4 linked regions of the Coturnix japonica genome follow. The protein of the gene in region 3 interacts with the protein of the main gene of each other region in a pairwise test. Links are inferred from orthologs where the notes say so. Each region holds a gene or a part of one and is shown on either strand. Other genes may lie near its edges.

Region 1 (5,917 bases), on a different chromosome or scaffold from region 3:
TTTGGTACTCAGCTGCTCGTCTGAAAAACACCTACCTTCAGAATTTAAAGTTCTTCAGTTACAACGTCAAGCAAAATGGGACAGCAAATGTGTTACTCCGGTGTCTTGGTGAGGCCACTCTCAACCTAACCTTTTGCTCATGCTTCTTTTGGGCTGATCTCATTACAGCCAAGTGAGTTTAGACTCAGAGCCTTCCGACTTGTGAACACCGGGCACTTGAGGTTGTGAGAGCTCAAGGGCGTGAATGTGTAACTGCGGAAGAGCAGTTGTTGTAATGGCGAAGGATAGAGCAAAAACATGCTATGCCAGAAGGGATGAAAATGGCAAAATACCAGAGGTGGAAATATCTCCTTCTCTGGAGATATTCAAGACCTGCCTGGACACCTACCTGTGCAACCTGGTGTAGGGAACTTGCTTTGGCAGGGGGGTTGGACTCGATGATCTCTGGAGGTCCCTTCCAACCCCTACAATTCTGTGTGAAAAGCAGTCAGTCATACGAAGGAGATGTTTTTGGTGATCTGAGAGATTCCTTCCAGTCTGACATTTCTAATCACTCCATGAACCACGTCACATTTGGAGATGCCGTATGAAGGAGGGTCCGGCTCACCCGCTGTCACAACGCAGTGAGCTCAGACAAGCGATGGTTGTGTAAGCTTCATGCTCTGGCTCTTCAATGTGCCATCAAGAGCTCCCCTTGGAGCAGCCAATTCTGCACAAATCTCTCCTGTTGTAAGACCAGACCTGAGGTGGTGCTGTCCTCCTGCACTTCACCTTTCCGACAGCCAGCGGCTCCAATCTGCGCCATATTTTGCACCATTCATCACTGAGGAGAGGTTTGTCCTTGGAATGACTTTGCTGCCTCAGTGCTGGTGAGACCTCACAGCTGGGGAGCTCGGGCTGCTCCCTTTCCTTGGGTCTCTGTGGTTTCTTTGTGGTTCTTTTAGTATTCTTGCATCACTATGGGAAAAGAAAGAAAAAGAACACAGGCACATGAAAACCCATACACAGCCTGTTGGAAAATATCTCCTTTTACTTCAGATTAATTGAAAAATACACTGAGTTATTCCAAGTCCTCCACTTCTCCCTACAACACCTAACCAACCCCAAGGCTTTATTTTTCTGCTTTTATTTCTTCTTCCCTGCTGCTAAATTTGGGTTTGCCGTCTCCCTTCACACTTACCGAGACCCTTTGCTGACCTCCCCCTGAAGCTGGGCCAAACCACAGCTCTTTAAATGGCAGCTGTGCTGAAGCTGAGTCCCAGGAGGTGTTTTGCTCTTGTAATTCCATTCAGATGCGGATGGCTCCAATGCAGTGGGGGCACAGGGCAGGCAGCAGCGCTGGATGAGAAGAGGTAGAATTGTTTTACACAGCATCCCAGTTGGGTAAAAGGAAAACATAACAGTGGGCTGAATTAAAGTGTTACTGAGAGAGAACTCAAAGAGGGGAGGTTGAGGTTGGATGTCAGGGGGAAGTTATTTACTGTGAGAGCGATGAGGTGCTGGAACAGCTGCTCAATGAGGCTGTGGATGCTCCGTCCATCCTTGAGGGTGTTCATGGCCAGGTTGGATGTGGCCCTGAGCAGCCTGGGCTGGTATTAGATGTGGAGGGGGTTGAAGCTTCACTACCGCCATCTCGACGTCCCCTCATCGCCCTGAGGAGAGGCGCTGACCGCCCACTGCGCCTGCGCAGGAGACGGGAGCGCGCGAAGCCCCGCCGGCTGTTGATTGGCTGGAGAGCACGAGCGCTCCCGAGGAGGGGCGGGGCGAGCTCACGCACGTCCGCCGCCGGAGAAGCGTCCGCTCGCCGATTGGCTGTGGAGGTGAGGAGGCGGGGCGAGGCACGAGGGCTCGCTCAGCCATTGGCTCTCGGAGGCAGAGGGCGGGGTGGGATTGGCCGGAGGGTGCGCGCCCCCGCGGAGACGCTTTGCGATTGGCTGCGCGCCGTGAGGCGGCCGGGGACCGTTGGAGTGGGGACGGTGAGGCGGAGCGGCGGTGGATGCGGCCCGGGCGGAGCGGGGCGGGGCGGCCAACACGGTTATGGTGTGTGGGGGCTGCGGGCATCAATGGGACCGGTCGGATTGTCTATGTATTGGGCTGCGCTAATAGCGGCGGGCTCCGAGAGCCGAGAAACGGGGAGGGCGGCGTGGGGCTGAGGAAGGAGACCCGTCCCAAGCTCGGTGCTGGGAGTGCTGGGCCCTCCAGGCCGTGACATGGGCAGCCCGTCCGTGTACCGACGTGGAGCCTCCCGCTAAGGGTGCAGCATGAAGTTGGGTCTTAGCTTGAGCTGAACGGGGCCGATAACCGGCTGTTTGTCATAGTGGCTCTTTCTTTTTTTTTCTTTTCTCGTGTGGTTGGTTGTTTTTCAGGTCGTCCTTCGATGTTGGCAGAAGGAGTTGAGGTGGCTGCTGCCCTGAGAGGCTCCGTGTGCCATCCAGGTAATGTGGCATCCAGGTAACTGTGGCTGGGCTGATGTGCACGGAGCTAAACAGGCTGTGTCTGTGGGTTCATGGTCAACAGAGCATCCTTAGGGTTGGAAGGGAACCTTAAAGACCACCTGTCCCACTGAGCAGGGACACACAGCTCCATCAGTGCTCACAGCCCATCCAGCCTGACCTTGGCTGTGTGCAGGGATATCCAGCACCTCTCTAGGCAACCTGATGGACCTGGAGAGCCATAGTGCTATATATGTATATGTCATAGTGGTGAGGCTGGTCTCTTTTCAGTAGTGCGTGGGGATAGGACTAGGGGTAATGGGATGAAAGTACAACATAGGAAGTTCCTTTATACAGTGAGGGTGACGGAGCACTGGAACAGGCTGCACAGGGAGGTGGTGGAGTCTCCTTCTCTGGAGATATTTAAGACTCGCCTGGACGCCTACCTGTGTGACATGGTGTAGGGAGCTGCTTTGGCAGGGGGGTTGGACTCGATGATCTCTAGAGGTCCCTTCCAACCCCTACAATTCTGTGATTCTGTGCAGCGCTCCTCTTATTCATAAGTGATTGTTAAGCCCTAGATAGGCTGGGGAGCCCTTTGCCAATGGTTTGTGTGCTGCTTGAGAACGCTCTGATAACACTCGAGCCACTGCCTTGAGTTTGGTCATCAGCTGTGCAGTGCTGCTCTTTAAAAACGCTTTGTACTTTCAGTTTTCTTATTCACGTTCCTGAAACTGAGTGTGCAGTGCGTCAGCTTCCTTGTTCTGCTGTTGGCTGCTGTGGCTTTCCAGGCAAAAAAAAAAAAAAAGAAGTTAAAATTCTCATTTCCACGTTGGGAAATGTGAGAAACGTTGGCCTGAAGAATTACTTGGGTTGGTTTTTATTTGTCCTCCTGCCTTTCATTGGTAAGTGTGTGTGATCCTGTACTGCCAGCTGATATTACAAAGTGCACTCGAAGGAATAGAGGTAACCCAGAATTGTCTGTTTGAGGCTGTTGCTTTCTGTGTTTCCAAAGGATATTTTAGATTAGTGGAGAGTTTGGGTAAAAGGGTGTTGTTGCTGACAAGCAACTGGAGAAGATGGAAAGAATTAATTGCTGTAGGGCAGTTCCAGCTTAGCCCTCTCGTTCGTCACATTATTTGTCAGTACCAGCATAAATAACAGTTGTGAGTGGTATAGAAAGCAGCCTGCTTTTCTTAGCCTTATCACTGCTGCTCTTTAACTTTGTGCTTTTGGGGTGGTGAGATTTGGTGATAAGGACTTAAATTTGTAACATTTATGTTGAGTTATGTTTCGGGTTTTTCTCTCAGTGCCAAAGTGGAGAAATCATGATTGTAAGGTGCACATTTGGTTTAGTGTTTAGATAGGCTCCTGCTGATAACTTGTGCCTAAGCTTAGCTTCGTGGCTCTCTTGCAGTCATGGAATGAATCATAGAATGGCCTGGGTTGAAAAGGACCACAGTGATCATCCAGTTCCCCCTGCTGTGTGCAGGGTCACCAACCATCAGACCAGGCTGCCCAGAGCCACATCCAGCCTGGCCTTGAATGCCTGCAGGGAAGGAAAGGTGCTGTATCATATCTGTGTGCTTTTTACAAAACCTTCTTTAGAAGCAGCTCCTGATCCACTGTGTTTAAAAGAAAATTAACAAACACAAGGGAAAGCCCCCAAAATGTAAAAGCAACACCAAAAAAACGCTAACTTGTGACTTTGCAATGTAATTCAATACAGGCTTGGTCTTGATCTGGAGTTTCTTGATGATGCTCTTTTAAACTGCCATTCATTATGGCTTGTGAAGTTCTTAAGCAAACATTGGAGCTTTGTTTGGGATCCGTAGAACCGGGAGGTGTATGCGGTTCCTCATGGATGCTCTGTTGTCAGGTTGGTGTAGATATTGAGGTAACATATCAAAGCATTCTTAATACTTCTGTGCACCATTACTTATGCTTTAATTAATTCCATTTAGGGTTGGGAACTGAGTCTGAAATTGTAGTTGAACTAGAAGAATGATCAGAATTGTGTAAAATATGCTTTGAAAGAAGGCGTTGGTGGTCTGTTAGTGTGAGTGGCTCTTCTTTTTCTGTCCTTGGGTTTCCATTGAATGGTTTGGGTTGGAAGGGACATTAAACCTGTTAAATGTATGCCCATGAAATAACTACTAGAGCTCTTCCTTTTTCCTGGTAAGAGGTGTAGTGAAGTAAAGAATCATAGAATTAATTACAGAATGGCCTGGGTTGAAAAGGACCACAATGATCATCTGATTTCAGCCCCCCTGTTATGTGCAGGGTCACCAACCAGCAGCCCAGGCTGCCCAGAGCCACATCCAGCCTGGCCTTGAATGCCTGCAGGGATGGGGCATCCACAGCCTCCTTGGGCAACCTGTACCCAACTTTTAATGGATTTCTTTTAATGGAGTACTTTTGGTGGAGTACTTTTAATCGTTTACATGCATTCATGTCATAAGCAGTGCCTGATAGTGGTTATCAGATCTTCAGGGTATCAGAGCTTTTTTTGGAGGATGTCTCACGAGTGGAATTACAACATAAAACCAAATGGAGTATTTGAAAAACAACCCCAAAACAAGAGGAAAAAAGCAGCACGTCCCTTTGATAGCTCAGAAGCTGATTTATTTAGTCCCTAAATTAAAGTAATTAGGAAGCAGTGAGGCAACAGCTGAAGTTGCAGATACGGAACCAGGATGACAGCATTTCAGGCTATGATTTATAACATGGCAGGAGATGCCTGTGGTGGTGCTTGGGGAAGAACAGATGGTGCGATTTGGGATGGTGGCTGTGGTTGGGGCAAGAGCAAGGACTGTGGCTTTAGCTGGAGTTGGATCCATGGGCTCCTCCCACTGATAGAATCACGTAGAATGGCCTGGGTTGAAAAGGACTACAGTGACCATCTGGTTCCAACCCCCTGCTGTGTGCAGGGTTGCCAACCAGCACACCAGGCTGCCCAGAGCCACATCCAGCCTGGCCTTGAATGCCTGCAGGGATGGGGCATCCATAGAATAAGGCAGTGCCATTTGTCTGGGCCGTTACCTACAGCTGATGAGCTCCAAGAAGAGCGAAACCTTGTAAAATAGGTCCTGTAGTATTGGCCTGATGTGCTCCTTCTGTGCTTGAGCTGTGAGTGATTAAGAAGCACTGTGGTGCCATCAGTGGCTGAGCCTGTTGAAGCACATGTGGGGGAGGACAGCATTCAGGCTTTGCTTTTTGTTACGTCATTAGTTTTTTATCCAGCCAGGCTTAAATGATTCTTGTATGTATTGTGGACATGAGAGAGAATTTTCAAAGGCAAGGAAAAAGGGAGAAATGGGAAGAGCTGAAATATTCCATAGGACTTGGGGCTGCTTCTTCCATCACAGTGTGAAATATAGCTTATATATATATATATAAAAGTAAAAATAATTGTCACTATCGTGTGTCTTTGCATGCCTGAGCATGCTTGACTTTAAGATGTGTAGAGCACAGTCAGCATCAGT
Region 2 (5,783 bases), on a different chromosome or scaffold from region 3:
AGCAGATGTGTGCAGCAGTGACTGAAGGGCCTGACAGATGCAGTACTCTTCTAGTTGAGAACCGATGGGCAGTTTATGCTATGGGTGATCTTTGGCAATACAGAAATCCCCAGAGATGGACAATTAATGAGAAGACTTCTTCAGTTTTGCATTTTAATTTATTATGAAATGGCAATTGACGTTTCTTATTTGGAAATCACATTTATTGAAGTGAGTCTCCAGTGCACCGCAGTGATAGTTCACGTTCAGAAGAGATGCACTGAATCAACATTTTAATACAGTTTTGAATGTAAATCTACATGTTATTGGTTTTATTAATAAAATGAACAAACACACACAAAGATGAAAACCTGGATTGTCTGAGACTTGAGGATTTGGCATTTTTCAACCCTTGTTGATTTCAGGGAGAATTAAATTGGTTTCCTTATGAAGTTTAATGGTGTCATTTTGGTGCTCTCCCTCCGCTGGTGCTGCTCACATCTTCTCCTCAATCTCCTTAACCTGAGAGGACACGACTTTGCCGTCAACCACCTCTTCAACAATTGTCTTGATCTTCTTAATTTTACTTGATTCTGGTAATGAAATTGAACAGTAAATTAATAAAAATGCAGTGTGCATTGACAGAATGTTAAAGTGTGTGCACTTCGTTTAGGAGCCCAATCTCTGTGCAGTCAGTGGAGAGAAGCAGACACCTCTGAAAGCCCTTGGAAAGGAATTCCATGGCTTTGCCATCCATCTGGCCCTTTGAGAAGCCTGTGGTTTTACCTCTGGCACCTGGGTTACTTACATAAAGCAGGGCTTGTATAATCCCTGGAGGTTACCTGTTCATACAGTTGATTGTTTTCTTGTTTTAAGATTTCACCAGTTGATTATTTGCTCTGAAACTGCACTTTTTGAAATCAGCCCGCTTAATTCCATAACATTTAAACAGGAAGCCATCAAAAGCACATGCCTGTGCAACATACCTTTTTCAAGTTCATTTGTAAGTATATCCTCTTGGACAACCCTGTTCGGATTTTAAACAGAAAAATGTAAGTATATTATGCCTGACATAGTGAAGAAACAACCTGGCATGTTTTCTGCACCTTTAATATAAACAGGTATATTTCCTTTCATCAAGACTTTAGTTCAGCCCTTGTCACGTGTTTAGATGAGTTTTCAGTACTAAAGTGAATTTTGTTAAGCGTCAGCTATAGGTGAAATTCACCTGCAGGCTAATTTCTGCAGTGTTACAACTTCAGCTCAGGAGGATTTGCCCGGCCTGGTTCCTGAGCCAGAACTGACCTTTGAACCATAGGACCTTTGAGGGAAGCAGCGCTGTCTGCTTGTGCTGCTCTGCACTCTTTCACAGACCTCTGTGCACTGCAGAGCAAGGGATGCTGGACTTTCCAGACAGTAAATGTCAGCTCATTTGCACCTCCTACGTATATAAGTGGCTCAGCTACTGGTGGCAGAAGTGCAGCAGGATGGAATCCTGCACGGGCTCCCAGACTTGCCATAGACTGCAGGAGGTCAGTGTGCGCTCACTGAGTGCCTTGCTCTGATGTGGTCAGGTGCTCATGCTACCAAAAGCAGTTTAAAATGATGTGCCCTGAGTTTCTGTCATTACAGTTATGGAAAAGTTTATCTAAAACTGCATCACTTTTGTTCATGGAGTGTGGGCGGCTGTCAAGATACTCAATTCAAGAAGAGTAACAGTGTGTACCCGTGCAGAGGGTGGCATAGACTGGTCTGAACACTGCAGCAGCCTCTGAAGGAGCACAGACTTGGAGCCTACAGCTGAGAGCCGGGCAGCAGGCAGACTTTTTTCCTTCAAAAACCAGTTGCCAATAGGCAGATTTTACCACCGTTTCTGTCTGAGAATTTAGAGCTCATTTGCACTGCTGTCAGTGGTGCAAAGCTGCCGGAGCCCCTTTCCTCACCTGATGTCCTCCCCTTCCAGCAGACGTCGGTACGTGGCGATCTCCATCTCCAGGCGAGTCTTGATGTCCAGCAGGATGCTGTACTCCGTGTTCTGCCCCTCCATGTCAGCCCGCAGCTGCCTGAGCTGAGCCTCTAACCTGGCAATTGTTTCCTGGATTTGAGCCAACTGAAAACTGTAACGTGCTTCAGTTTCAGCCAGAGAATCTTCCAGAGTCTTCTTCTACAGTTGGTGAAAAAGAACAGAGATTTATTGTTCAAGAGGATACATCTTGGCCTTAAAATTACATTTTGAAATATGTCCCAGTTTTTGTTGTTATCTCTATAAACACAGCCCTTATTTCAAGAACTGTTCATCACTCACCATGTTCAGATGGGTCTGTAATTCCAGCTCCAGGCTCTGGGAGATCTGTCTCCGATCTGTGACCTCTCTCCTTTGTTCTTGCAGCTGCTCTACATTGATTGCTACTTCCTGGTTCAGTGCTTCTGTCTGAAATATGGAAATGGAAGGACTGTGAGCTGTGACCAGACATGACAGAGGCTCTCGCTGGTGTTGAAGCAATTGACCTTACTTGCTTTTCAAATCGTTCTTTGGCTTCTTGGCGGTTCTTTTCTGCCATTTCTTCATACTGCCGTCTCATGTTTTCCATAATACTTGCAAGATCAACACCTGGAGCAGCATCCACCTCTACGTTAACCGAGCCACCCACTTGTTTGCGCAGCCTTTCAACCTCCTACAACATTGAGCACTGCGTTAGCATCAGCTAAAGTGAACTTCCAGGCCCAAATATTGGGCAGAAGCTCAGAAATACAGAAACAGAGCAACTCTTAATTCTTAAATTTAAATTTAGCTCTTAATTTAACTCTTAAATTTAATTTGTAAATGCCTCTGACAAAAAAGAAATGATGACACTGTTCTGCTGCTCTCACCTCTTCATGGTTCTTCTTAAGGAAAATGATTTCTTCATTCACGCTTTCAATCTGTGCCTCCAGATCTGACTTGGTTAAGGTCAGGTCGTCAAGGACTCGCATGAGCCCATTGATGTCACTCTCAACACTTTGCCTGAGCAAGAGCTCATTTTCATACCTGTAAAACAAGGCTTCTTTCGCCACCATAGAAGTGCAGCAGTTTGACAGAAACATCAAATCAATAACTTCTACAGCCCGAGGCCTAAAGTATTTGTTTTTACTGAGCTCTGTGGTTTACTTCTCAGCTTTGATACTAATAACTAGATGTTATCCTGAATAACTGAAGCATGAAGGAGTGCAGGCAGTGCGTGGAACTTACTTCAGTCTGAAATCATCAGCAGCCAGCTTGGCGTTGTCAATCTGCAGGACAAGCCTTGCATTTTCCAACTGTGCAGCACTGATCTAAAAAGGAAAGGTTGGAAAGGGATGAAGCAGAGGTAATGCAGCTCGCAAAGGACACTGAGTGAGTCTTAAACATTAGAAAGTCTGTCACTAATTTGTGTCTGGCCAGAATGAAGCATTTCCTGTTCCCAGGTGAGACAGATCCTATTTGATCTACTTTTCCACAGTAGATTGTTACCTTCCCCAAAGCTGCAGTTTATGCTTTTATAGATGGCTGTAGGAGATCTTACCTTGTTTTGGAGTTCCTCGATTGTTTGGAAGTATGAGCTGTAGTCACTCCTTATGCCCACTGTATTCTTCTCGTGCCACTCCTTGATCTGCTTTTCAAGCAGGGAGTTTGATTTCTCCAGAGAGCGCACCCTCTCCAGATAGGCAGCCAAGCGGTCATTAAGGTTCTGCATGGTTGATTTCTCATTGCCAGCGAGCAGCAGGTCGTTATCAGAGATGTTGGAGAAGGCACCGCTGGAGCTCTGTCTGCGGACGGTGCTGCTGGAGATGCGGGTGCCGTAGCCGCCAGCCCCACCATAGACACTGGGCGCCTGGATCCGCTGCACGGCCGCGCTCCTGACGGACAGAGCGCTGCTACCAGGAGCTGTGCCCTGCAAACGGGCGGCTGTACCCAGCTGGAAGCTCTGTGTGGAGAAGGACATCGTGCCTCCTGCAAAGGTGAAGCGGCTGACTGTACGACAGCGAGTTGGAGTGAAGTGCTGTGTGCTCTGTAAACCTTATATTGTCTTTGGAAGAGGAAGCACGGTGGTTGTAAACCCCACCTCTCTTGACGCATACTGTAATTGGTGTCAGCACAAATAACATGCAGGACATTGTCCCCACACTCTGTAATGCAAAGGGTTTTTAATCTCTCCATCTGCGTTTGAAAAAAAACTGCTCAGGAAATTTAGCTTTATTCATTTTTATTTTGAATGAAAGATAAAACACAAACGAGCTGCTGAATCATTTATTGCAGCCTAGCCAGCCTATCTCTATAGAGCCATTGTCGAACAAACCCTGTGCGGGTTATGAAATTAAAATGAGTTGACCGTATGTGACAAGAGACCTTAAATATTTATATCTCAATCCAGTGTACATTGCTGTTGTGTGAGCCATCGTCTGGGCCTGAGGATGGTGTAGGAAGGTCTTGAAATGGTCAGGAAGGTGGCATTTGTATCTACCGCCTTCATTCATTCTACAGTAAGCACAGAACAGTAATCTTAGTGTTGTCAAAATGACTGGTGTAGTTTGCTTGCATTGAATGTACACTGTTCAGTGATAGAAAGCCCTTAGAAGTTGAACTGGGCTGCAGTGTGGTTGAGATAAGGCAGAAAATGTAGTAGGCAAAGCTGTAAGGATATGAGAACCACCTGGATGGCTCCCTTTATTTTACATGTGAGATGCTGGTCCATAGTGCTGAGACCAAGCTTCCAGCACAGCTCCAAGCCCTCCTGCCCTGGCAGCGTGCTCAGCACGTTGTGCCCTCTGGCTGCTCTGCCTTTGACAGGAAATCAGCTGCCTCTGATCAGCACACAAAGAAACCCAGCAGCTGTGTTTTGTAGTTCCTCCAGCTGCAATGTATGTACTGCTGAGATGTGACAGGCAGAGATACAATGGAAATCGAGTGAAAGAGCTCAGAGCTGGGGGAGTTCCTGGTGCTGCATGAAAGCAGGCAGCAGGTGTGCAGCAGGACAAAGCAGGTGGAGTTCCTTGGGGCACTGCATTTAGTGTACTTCAGTGTATTAATAATGTACGGCTATTCAGGTTGAACAATTAACATGTATTGTTTATATTAGTGGAAAAGAGCTGCTGTACATACTGGTCTTTTAACCTGGGACAAGGCAATGGGTGACGTGCTGTTCTCTGGGCACTATGCTGGATCTTGGCAGCATCCTCAGGTTTCTGAGAGCTGAGTGTGGGATTCGGTGGGACCAGTTCAGCTCAGATTGGATACAGAACTACCAATAGTTTGCTGAGTGCAGCTGTAACAAGGCAGAGTTCAGCTGCTCTGGAAATGTGCATCTTCCAAAGCAAAACGAGCAGCATTCAGAGCAGGGCTCCTTGCCATGAGGATGCAAAGTGTACATTCAGGTGTCTGAACTGTGGTTGGACCTCGAGCTTTGGGTGTGACTCAGAAGCATAAATGTGCATTTATGGCAGGTCCGGTCAAAGTCCAGCAGCCAGGTCAAATGTCCCGTTGCTATAGACACAGGGTGGGTCTGTTCTATCTGCACTCAATAGGGATCATTTCCAGCTGTAGGGCAGAGCTCACATCTTTAAAACCACGAGAAGAACGCAGCAAAAGTCCTGCTACAGTTACATCTGCTGTCTGTGCATTGCTCTGCCTGCATCTCTCACAGGACTCTCCAATGGTTTGTTTTCAGTAGACATTCTGCTTTGTCTTCTTCCAAGTTATTAAAATAGTTTCCCCTCAGGTACAGTTGACACCTCAGGTGAGGTTTTATCGCTCCATACATTTTTTTGTCGTGGAATACAATGAATTT
Region 3 (5,256 bases):
GGCTCCCTCACAGCAGAGCCCTGTTAGAACAGCATCTGTGAACCAGAGGAATCGCACATACAGGTATTCAGCATAGTCCGGGACAGAGCATGGCTAGTGTTACGTCAGTGTATGGGTAAAAATGCTTCAATTTGAAATCCATTTTCACCTTGACAATGGAGCTTTTACTAATTCATGATATTGACTGGCAATGCCATTTGGCAAGGCAAAAATGTGCTCTAATTAAACTGGAGTAGTGAGTTGTGTTAACATTGTTCACTTAATTCTGTGGTTACCTTGATTTTTAATATTACAATGTAGTGATAGCACTTCTGTGCAAGCTCTCTAGGACTAGGTGAAAAAGCTTCTGCTGTAGTCAAAATGAAGAGGACTTCTTGGAAAAGTTAGATTTCTATAGCTTTATATCATTGTTTCTTTTTTCTTGTTTCCTGTTACAACTCTGAAATAGCAAATTGCTTTCTGAGGCATTTGTGTTTCAGCATGCAGAGCAGCACATTCATTTCTTGGGTTACTTTGGTTTCTTACAGCAGCAGTGGGAGTAGTGGAGGAAGCCACCCAAGTAGTCGGAGCAGTAGTCGCGAGAACAGTGGAAGTGGCAGTGTCGGTGTTCCTATTGCTGTTCCCACGCCATCTCCTCCCAGTGTCTATCCAGGTAAATGGAAACTTGCTGTTCCTCTTCCTGTTTCAGCATTACCTTTAAAATTTGCAGACTTGAGGAGGAAGTCCCATGAGGAACCTCAGAATTCATTTTCCAGAAGCATGCAGTCATTGAAAATTGCTTGCTATTGGTAGCGTTAATTTGAATAGAGTAATATTTTTTTTGAGAGTGTCTGAGGTACTGCAGAGTTCATTTTATGCGTTACTTGATTTACAAATGTTTTTTGCCTGGCTGCCTGCATGAAACCAGATAGAACACAGTATCTTTTTTGGTGGGCAGGGAGAAATTTATCCCTTTTAAGCAAATTGATGCATTTTCATTGACTGTTCATGCAGATCTATAGCAGCTTGCTTTTAGACAGTTGGATTAAAAGAGAGGCAGGCAGAGAGTAAATCCTTAAATACACAGTGCAAGCCTAGCTGAGTTGTCATAAAAAAGTGCTCGTTTACTGTAACTACACCTGTCTTCCCAGAAATAGGAAGTGATGTTAGTGCTCCTTGTTCAGCACTTTCGGTGAAAAAGAGCATATAGTTTTGGCTTGCAGTGTGATCTGAAATACATGATGTTTTTGAACCAAAGGAGCACTTTTGTCTTTCTTCTTCTGTATATTTGTACAAAAACTCAATGCAGCTATGCTACAGATTACAGCCTAAATAACAAAGATTAAAGACATCTTTCAAAAGTAATGGCTCTCACTGGAAGGTTCTAGGTTGTTACCTTCAGACCTGGAAAGAAGCAGCAGGTTTGCTTGACCCTCATGAAACTGTCTACGTAAGAATGAGTCTTTCTTTAGTAGCTTCATTTTTCCCTCATCTCCTTGTGCATTCTAAAATACTATGCATCTAGTAAGTAGCTAACACTGAATAGTCAAAGGCTTTCAATAATCCTTGCTAACATATCTCCCTATTAACGCCACCTCTTCCTCCTCTCTTCACCTAGCCCCCGCTGGCTCATCTGGCACTTCTCCCCTTCCTTCTACCTCTGCTCCTGCCCCCACCCCTCCTGCTCCAGCCCCTTCCTCCTCTACCCCAGATGCTGCTGCTGCTGCAGGAGCCCAGCCCCTTGCTGATGGCTTCACCTCTCCAACTCCCCCTGCTGTTTCTTCCACGGCCTCTACAGGTGAGTGTCTGCTCCCTTGTGTGGGCAGATGGGCCCAGATGTGATCACGGTCTGAGGCTTTACAGAGCAAATTTTCAAGGAGTTGCTTCAATTGGTAACTCCTGAAAAACAGGTCTTTGAGTATGATTTCATTTATCCCATCCATTCAAGTGGTTTATAACGTTCTCTTCTCCCCAGATGATTCTCTGTATATTTCAGGAGCAGCAACAAGATATTTAGCATTGTGTTTTTCTGTGAATAAGAGCAAACAGTTTGTACATGTTGTGTTGCTTGACAGCTGGAGTGCAAAGTGATATTTTTTGCAGGTTTATAAATGAGAACTTCTTATAAATTCAGTTATTATAATAAGTTTCATAAAATGGATAAATGAAAGTGATTTTCTTTCACTTTATGGCATATGTACCTTTGCATTTTCTTTTTTGTATGTGTGATTAGTGATGATTACAGGCAGTTGGAGGAGTTTGGTTTTTTTTGTATTGCTGTTGAGACACGCAGTGCTCTGACAGTCCGGTAGCTGAGCTGACTGCTTATAGGATGTGGATTGTCTGTAAAAGAACAGAGATGTTTCCTAGCCTTTGAATTCTGAGTGGAGCTAAAAAAAAATAACAGGCATAATCCTTCCCTTGGTAACACATTTCTTTTTCTAACCCAGGCCACCCAGTTCAGTTCTACAGCATGAACAGGCCTGCGTCTCGACATACGCCACCAACAATAGGAGGATCCCTGCCATATCGGCGTCCTCCTTCAATCACGTCACAGACGAGCCTTCAGAACCAGATAAATGGAGGACCTTTTTATAACCAGAACCCAGGTAAGAAAGGTTATCTGCTGTGATGAATGCAACGCAGGGTTGAATTGACTGACTTTCAGATCTCTGAAATCCTACATTTTGTCTCCAGCTCTTGCAGCCAGTCTGAGGTAACTTCCTGTACGTTGCTGGTAGCCGTGCTGAAGTGGAGGTGTGAGCACAGAGCATGCAGCTGTCATTATGGCACACAGCTCAGGACAATTTGGCTCTTGTTGTCAGATAGATTACTTTTGATCTCCCAGGATTTGCAGGATCTGTTGGACACCCTTCAGTCCTTTACTACACTATGTGTATAATGTAGCTGCTTTGGTGTGGAATAAGTATTTGGTTTTGCAGCAAAACACTGATTCTTCATTAATCAGTCTGTGTGCTTGTGTGCTTTTTCCTTGTGATTAACCACCAGTTCAGTAAATTGTTCTTCCTATATAGCGGTAAGTGTTAGAGATTTTAGACATCAGTGGTGTTTGGTACAGAGTGCAGGGGAGCTATGTCCCTTGTGAAGTTCCATATGTGATGTTATTCTAATGGATGACCTGTGCTCAAAAGCAGGTTGAGATTTTAACAAGCAGTGTTGTCGTGTATGTTGGGGAATTCAGCAGCTGTTCATCTCTGCTGTCCTCCCTGAGCTTCTGAGGAGAAGTGAAAGTATTGATGTGACACTAAGGGACGACTTTTCTTACAAAGCTACAATGCTTTGTAAGAAAATGCAAGGGATGCAAGGGACACAGTGAAAGTTCCTTGTCAGCAAAGTCAAGTCTGAAAGTTGATTTGAAACACTGTAGTGCTACTGTGTGGGTACTTTTGTTGATCATCTGTTTGGCTTTGTTGTTTTACATGAAGCATTGAATTAGGAATTAGGTTAATTGCTGCAGTTTGAGTTTAAGGGATCTGGTCAGGTCCAAATATTACTGCTTGTGAGTCAGACTGTGAAGAGATGCACGTGATTAACTTGAGAAAGAAGCAGGTGGTTCTGCTGGGGACAGAGAGGGTACAGGAGTTTGTATGAGTGAATTGCAGCTCTGTTGCGTGAAATACATGGTATTTGTTAGGCACGTTATACGCATGTTGAATTTTGAAGGGGAATAAATAGGAAGGAAGGGAAAACAGCTATAAAGGAAACATTTCAACATTGCTTTTTGCAGTATAGAGAATTTTCACTGCATCCAGACACATATGCAATTTTAGACAGCATATATAATGCCATTGCAGGTAATAATAAAGTTACCAAATAGACTTTATTTAAATTGTGTAAATGAAGGTCAGTCTGAGGACTCAAAAGGAAGGTAATGATTATGGTTAAGATAAAACAAAGAATGATGTCAGCTAGTGTTAACATCACCATTTTGATTAAACTCTGTGATCCAAGCACAACAAAGGGGTTTTTGTTGTGTTTGCCTAGAGTGCTTGTCTAGAGTGATTTGTCTTTCTACCTGGAAGGCCTTGTTATCTCCTTCAAGGACTTACATGCAGTACACAACATGCACAGAAGGGACCCGGGAGACCAAAGGTAGTCTCATATGGTACACAGGAAGCGTATGATTTCAAGTGATTTTGAATAAGGGAAACATTTTGAAACTAAGTATTTTTATAGTATATGTAATTAAAAAGGTGGTGACTTCATAGCTGGACAGGAACACTGCATTCCTGAATGCTGTTGCATTTCAATAGTGCTTCAAATTCAAGTTCCCTTTTCCTCTTTGGGAAATGCAAGACCAGGTCTTTTCCCAGAAGTTGTGGTTACTCCTGAAGAAATGTATTCTCTCCAAGGTCACCTCACTCAAATCAAAGAAGCTGTAATTAGAAATGTATATTAAGGTTTCCCAAGAAATACCAGTTAAGTGGTGAGGTAATGGAGCCTGCTTTATATGGAGGTATGTGGATACTCTTAACAAAGCAATGGTTACTCCATTTTGGTTTCTGTGTTTATTTTGTTTTGTTTGTGATGTGTGGTAGAAAAAAGAAGGTGAATGTGATTGGCAGAAGAAATTCAAAGTGCTTGTGAAAATAATTGCTAAAATGAGCAAACACTGTATTTTGAGATGTGAATTTAAAGTAACTTGGGCTTTTTTTTTTCCCCCATTTGCTGTGATGAGGGGTATTAATTCTGAAAAATGCTCAGTCACGCACTGTAGCTCTGGGATTAGACTGAAATTTAATTAGCTCACATCAGTAAGGTAAATAAACGTACTGGTACATGAAGTGTAGATTTATTTTTCTCCCCGCTATTCTCTTGGACATGATTAAATGTCTGCGTATGCCACGCTACCAAGAAATGACATGGTTGTGCTTTTCCTGAGGTGTGCTTTCTGGAAAATATTCCAAGAACTTTCTTGAAAAAAAGAATTGTCTTGCATTATCCTTACATGGTGAGACTCCAGTTTTGTTAACTAGAATTAACTAGTTTTTTGTACTTAGAGAATAAGCTCACTTATCTAATCAAGTGGATTTGCACATCTTGCACAAAAACAGCTTTTTCCGTTAGCAGCAAGCCTGCTGCTCAGAGTTCAGTGGTTTGCAGAATAAGGCAGAAAGGTAAAGCAGCACATTGGACTAGACTCTGCTGCTCTGCAACAGCAAAGTGTGCTTTGTTCTACCAGTGAGGCTCCTGGCTGTCCAGTCCAAGGTATCTTTCTGTTTCACTTAAGATTGCCTCATTTAATTAATTTTCTGT
Region 4 (5,855 bases), about 19 Mb from region 3:
GTAACTTTATTATTATTATTATTGTAATTTTTCTGTCCTCCTCAGCAGCACTTCCTCAGAGTTCTTAATATGAATAGCTTGTTCCTGCAGGACTCAAGATAATTGGCAGTGCCCTAATTTTTTTCTTCCCTTGTCTTATTATTGTGGATTTAATTATTTATTGAGGAACTCAGGTTCATTAAGCACCACTGGGAAATACCCTGAGGCTCTGGTTGTGGTGTCACCTAGAGAAGGAGCTCTGCAGGCACTTCTGTACAAGTATTTGGAGCTGGGGGAACTCAGACTCAGCACCACAAGTCCTGCCTCATTCTTCATTTCTAGGAAGTGGGCCAGTAATATGGTGCCCCACCGCAGCCAGGTAAAAAGCGAAGCAAATGTTTAGGAGCTGATTCATCCTATGCAATACCAAGGTGACCGTAACAACATTGCAGGATGGTAAGAAGTGACAAAATAGCCATTTACTTGCCTGGGCAGCTGCTGCGATAACTGCACCACACGCAGTCTTCTCTGTGGAGAAGAACAGAGCTGAAGTTAATACAAATGAGAACTCATTGTCTTCTATAGAACTCATTACATTTTTCTATTTCAGCCAGTCGACATTAGTGTTTATTGCATTTCTTTACAGATCACAAAATCACAGAATGACGCGGGTTGGAAGGGACCTCAAGGATCATGTAGTTCCAACCCCCCTGCCTGACAGGGCCACCAAATATACACATTTACTAGATCAGGTTGCCCAGGAGACCCCATAGACCCCATAGAGACCCCATAGACCCCATAGACCCCATAGACCCCATAGAGACCCCATAGACCCCATAGAGACCCCATAGATCAGGTTGCCCAGGGCCCCATCCAAACTGGTCTTGAACACCTCCAAGGACGGGGCATCCACAACCTCCCTGGGCAGCCTGTTCCAGGGCCTAACCACCAATTGATTCGTCCTGTCTTTTTAAGGCAATCAAACAAATTAATGACGTTTTGACTCCGCTTGATTCACTACGTGAAATCATCAGTTTCGACTGAATTCGTAAATTTAAGGTCGAAGGAAAAACACTCCGTTTTGTCATCAAAATCCTCCAAAGTGGGAGAGCGGTGCCACCTGCAGACTGCTCCAACACAGCCACCAGCACAACGGGAGCTCCGTCCCACACCGCAGCCCGTGAGTCATTAAGCTGCTATAGAGGCAGCCACAGAGCCAGCAAAGCTAGAGGGCATTTGATAATTAGCCCGATGTGGTTAGAAATAAACGCAAACTGCCTTCATTTGTCAAGAAACGTCCGTGTGTGCTTCAAGTTAGACTCCATTTCTCATATACAATCCAGAAGTCCTTGAAAGTATTCACAGAATCACAGAATGAGCCGGGTTGGAAGGGACCTCAGGGATCATGTAGTTCCAACCCCCCTGCCTGGCAGGGCCACCAAACATACACCTTTACTAGATCAGGTTGCCCAGGAGACCCCATAGATCCCATAGAGACCCCATAGACCCCATAGATCCCATAGAGACTCCATAGACCCCATAGATCCCCATAGAGACCCCATAGATCAGGTTGTGCCCATGGCCCCGTCCAACCTGGCCTTGAACACCTCCAAGGACGGGGCATCCACAACCTCCCTGTGCAGCCTGTTCCAGTTCCTAACCACTCTCCTAGTGAAGAACTTCCCCCTAACATCCAACCTAAATCTTCCCTCTTTTAACTTAAAACCATCTCCCCGTGTCCTGCTATTGTCAGCCCTTTCGACAACCCAGTTACAGGGGGATGAGAAGTGAACATCACACACACCCCTCTCTCCTCCCGTCCCGCCTCAACATGGCTCCTCCCAGCCGTGACGAAGGGCCGTGGCCGAGGCGCCGAGGTGCGGGGCCCGCCCAAACCCCGCGAGGTCCCCGGGCTGCCCCGGCCGGTGCCTGATTCTCCCCGCCGCATTCGGCTTTGGGGCCCGGTGTGAGGGGCCGGAGCGGGGCCGGGCGGCCGCCGTGGAGATGCCGCTGTTCGCGTCCAACCCCTTCGAGCAGGACGTGGGTGAGTGAGCGGGGAGCGGTGCGGAGCTCGGCGGGACGCGGCTGGGCTCGGTGCAGCGTTGGGCCTGTGAGGGGTGAGCGGCGGCGATGCCCGGCCGTATCTCGGGTCGGCGGGTCGGGCTGGGATTGTGGAGGCCAAGATCGGCCTTGGTGGTGCCGGCGGCGGGATAGCGCCCACCGGGTGTAAGAATGGACACAGCCCCACTTCGGCCCGAGCCGCCGCTCCGTTCCATTGCAAAACCGGGGGCTGGTGCGGCCGTGACTCAGCCGGGCTGGTCCGGGTCGGGTCGTGATCCAGCGCTGCCCTCGGGGACATCCAGCTTGTGCCGTGTCTTGTTGTTGGCTTTTTGTTCTTTAAAGGCCCGCTGCTGAGCTGCAACACAGCAAAAGCAATTAAAATTTCCCCCGTCCTTGGAGGTGTTCAAGACCAGGTTGGACGGGGCCCTGGGCAACATGATCTAGTAAAGGTGGCCCTGCCAGGCAGGGGGGTTGGAACTACATGATCCTTGAGGTCCCTTCAAACCCGGGTCATTCTGTGATTTCCCAGGGCTTTAGGTACGAGAAGAGTTTTGTCATTGCCGAATCGTGGAACCAGAGGAGTTGGAAGGGATCTTGGAGCTCCTCCAGCCCAGTCCCCTGAGAGCTGGTTCCCCAGAGCTCATTGCAGGTTCCCTAGAGCAGGATTCTGGCCACTGGCAGGAAGAAGTGGTGGCTGTCAGTGCTCACGTTAACACCCCAGTTCCTTGTGGTGAGTGTAAGTCCTGCTCCTCTGCTCTGTGCTGGTGAGGTTTCACCTGGAGTGCTGCGTCCAGATGTGGAGCTCTCGGTACAGGAGGGACATGGAGCTGCTGGAGAGTGTCCAGAGGAGGGCTACAAAAACAGTCCACAGGATGGAATGGAACACTTCTCCTATGAGGACAGGATCAGAGAGCTGGGGCTGTGCAGCCTGGAGAAGACAAGGCTCCGAGGTGACCTGATAATAGTGGCCTCTCAGTGTCTACAGGGGAGCTACAGGAAGGAAGGGGATGGACTCTTTAGCAGGGTCTGTGGTGACAGAACAAGGGGAAATGGCACTGAGCTTGAAAAGGGTAGATTTAGGTTAGATAAAAGCCTTTTACAGTGAGGTTAGTGAGGTACTGGAACAGTGGTGTGGTTGATGCCCCATCCCTGGAGACTGTCAAGGTAAGGCTCAATCAGACCCTGGGCAATCTGACTTAGCTTGGTGCCCCTGTTGGTTGCGAGGGAGCTGGACTAGATGGCCCTCAGAGGTCCCTTCCAACTCTGAGGTTTCACTGTTATCTTCGTGTGCCTTCAAAGTTTGTTTATTGAAGGCTTTGCCTTCAGTTCTCTTTGATGTTGACCTGTGGCTAAAATGAAGTAGCAGCCGCTTAGGCCAGCTGTACTTGTTTCAAAGAACTTGTGTGTGTTCTGTACCTTTCTCATAGCTCTGATGTATTTGCACAAGTGAAGACTTCTTGAACTGGGGACTCACGGCTGTACAAAATCCTTTGTCAAAACTGAAAAGCTGCAACAGCTCTAAAAGCATAGGGCTGCAAAGTGATGGTCAGTGTGCCTCTAGTTTCTTAAACTCTGTATTATACATAGCGAGTAGAACTGCTCACACATGCTGCTATGAAACAAGAGCAGTGGGCTGGGAATTTCATAGTTATTGAGGCTAAATCTCGCAGTGCCTTGCTAGGAAGAATCTACTTTTGTGCCACTAGGAGCTTTTTTTTCTTTCAGCTATTATTACTTAGTAAATCAGACAACACGGAGCAGCAAATAACTGAACACTGTTGTTCTGTACTTTCCCTGGTGGTACTCACCTCAGGCTGCTCATGCTGCTGTCGAGCTTTAACTTTGTGATTCGAGGTTTTATTTTCTCATTCATCTTTTTGATTTATAAATAATAAAGGTGCGTACCACGAGGGCAGTCGAGCTCTGCTGATGTCCTGATGCTACTGGGAAGGAGAGCTCTTCCATCTTCTTGTCCACTCAGGTGCTGTGGGTTGCTCTCTGGGCTGATTCAGTGCATTCTCTTCAGCAGAAAACAGATTGCAGTGGAGTGCTTGGCTGACAGTTGGGATCATCTGTGAAGGCGATGGAGTTTGGAGGCTCGGATCAGCTCATCAGAGGCTGCAAAGTGGCAGTGAGGGGCAGGGCTCCCTGGGAAGGTTGAAGCCCTACTTCTGCTGGCAGCAAGAAATTGGGTTGGTTTGGATATCTGTTCAGGCCATGCCTTCGGTATTGCAGCTTTCTTGGGAGGGGGCCTTTAGAAATTATAGATAAACACAGCTGCAGCTGTTGTTTTCTTAGTTCTGAACTTGTGTTTGCTTTGCAGTAGATCTGCATAGGGTCTTACTTCCTCAGCATTTGCTTTGGTTGCATTGTCTATAGTTGCAGTTCCATGAGATGAACCTATGGGATAGTTTCAGGAGTTCCATTTCTCTCACCTGTGGGTTTTTTAAAGATTCTTATTATTTCGGTAGAGAGAAGTGGTGTTTTTTTTTTTAAATTCTTATTATTTTGGTAGAGAGAGTGCCACGAGACTTGAGTTCTTTAAAGGGTTTGGAACATTTTAATTTCCTATCTAAATCTATTCATCATTAGTTCACACACACTCGCTGTTTTCCCCCATTGTCAGCCTTCTTAAATAACCTTCATCTTCTAAAAGTAGTTGCTCCTCCAGCAGAGGACAAGCCTCCTGCTTTTCATCCTTTGTTTAGTCAGCGTTATTGGTGAGGTTGTTAACACAATCAGGGAGGTTGGAAGTATTTGTGTAGTTTGACTGGCATCCAGAATTACATGCCGTGTCACAGGTTGTTGGGAACTCCTATGATCGCATTTTGTGTTTCCTTGTTCATTGCTGGAGCATTTACCGGCTGTGTTGTTATATTCTAGTGTTATATTTGCCTTCTTGTTTCTGCTTCATGTGCTGTTCTTCATTGTCTTGTACTTGCACTTGGCATGCTCGTGCTTCTCCTCTTGTTTCCAACCACTGACATCTTGTTCCTAGGAGGATCTTTGATACACAGGCTGTGTGGGTTTGCATTTTGTCCTGCTGCTGTCTTGGTCTGTCTAACCCACTCCTCAGTAGCCTTCTCCTTATGTGACGCTTTAGTTTTCCCTGTTGCTGATAATACCTTCCAACTCCATTAGCTTCCTTTGCAGACCCTTACTCCTGCTGTCAGTGCCTGCCAAAACACGTTCATTTCATGACTAATTCTTGAGGCGTTGGGCTCCCTACCCTCTTCATAGTGCTTTACATCACTATGTGTCTTCCTTATAATGTGGAGCGATCCAAGAACTGTAGCTGATAACTCACACATGGTTTCCTGTGAAATATTTCACTGAGTGCAGGACAGACCGGTTGATGCTTAAATTAACCCTTGGCAAGGAGTCCTGCCTGGAGGAATAGCTGCCTTCTGTTGAAATTCACTGTGGTTCCATTGCATTTCTCAGCAATAATTCACGTCCTTCATGTTTGCTCTAAGGTCTCGCAAATGTTTGTGGACAAGCTAATTGCTGTGGGGTTTTCACTGTCGCTCGGGTCTTTTTCTCTTCTTTAAATCTTCCCAAGTCTTCAGTCCATGACTTTACTTTGATTGGGGTGATACAAATTCTTGGTGTCAGTTCTTTCTCATTACCAAGATTGCTGCTCCCAGCCTCAGCCCTGCCTCGATCGCTGCATGTCTGTAGTGCCCACGTTCCTAAGCAGTAATGAAGTCACAGCTGGGTTATTATATTTTTGCCTTTTCACTAATTTGGTTATACAAGGGCAAAGCAAGCAGAAGGTGTGCAGGATTAAATCCCTGCTTTCTGGAAATTCATTT

The links. The genes of interacting proteins can lie anywhere in the genome.
Region 1: the proteins of ABI2 (region 3) and DTNB interact in binary tests that used the Homo sapiens proteins (3 or more experiments, as listed by UniProt). The link is inferred for Coturnix japonica from reciprocal best matches to the Homo sapiens genes ABI2 and DTNB.
Region 2: the proteins of ABI2 (region 3) and keratin, type I cytoskeletal 20-like interact in binary tests that used the Homo sapiens proteins (3 or more experiments, as listed by UniProt). The link is inferred for Coturnix japonica from reciprocal best matches to the Homo sapiens genes ABI2 and KRT20.
Region 4: the proteins of ABI2 (region 3) and STAM2 interact in binary tests that used the Homo sapiens proteins (3 or more experiments, as listed by UniProt). The link is inferred for Coturnix japonica from reciprocal best matches to the Homo sapiens genes ABI2 and STAM2.

Annotation. Positions count from the first base shown.
Region 1 is NC_029518.1:95,641,549-95,647,465, reverse strand, and holds the start of DTNB (dystrobrevin beta), read left to right. Parts: upstream 1-1,917; 5' UTR 1,918-1,976; exon of another isoform or gene 1,977-2,040; intron 2,041-2,366; 5' UTR 2,367-2,435; intron 2,436-3,978; exon of another isoform or gene 3,979-3,997; intron 3,998-5,917.
Region 2 is NC_029542.1:4,172,677-4,178,459, forward strand, and holds keratin, type I cytoskeletal 20-like, read right to left. Parts: upstream 4,001-5,783; 5' UTR 3,942-4,000; coding exon 3,522-3,941; intron 3,292-3,521; coding exon 3,209-3,291; intron 3,008-3,208; coding exon 2,851-3,007; intron 2,655-2,850; coding exon 2,493-2,654; intron 2,411-2,492; coding exon 2,285-2,410; intron 2,144-2,284; coding exon 1,923-2,143; intron 1,007-1,922; coding exon 966-1,006; intron 573-965; coding exon 475-572; 3' UTR 140-474; downstream 1-139. UniProt on the Homo sapiens protein: Plays a significant role in maintaining keratin filament organization in intestinal epithelia. When phosphorylated, plays a role in the secretion of mucin in the small intestine.
Region 3 is NC_029522.1:11,947,247-11,952,502, reverse strand, and holds part of ABI2 (abl interactor 2), read left to right. Parts: coding exon 1-63; intron 64-527; coding exon 528-652; intron 653-1,597; coding exon 1,598-1,777; intron 1,778-2,429; coding exon 2,430-2,588; intron 2,589-5,256. UniProt on the Homo sapiens protein: Regulator of actin cytoskeleton dynamics underlying cell motility and adhesion. Functions as a component of the WAVE complex, which activates actin nucleating machinery Arp2/3 to drive lamellipodia formation.
Region 4 is NC_029522.1:30,549,056-30,554,910, forward strand, and holds the start of STAM2 (signal transducing adapter molecule 2), read left to right. Parts: upstream 1-1,855; 5' UTR 1,856-1,983; coding exon 1,984-2,023; intron 2,024-5,855.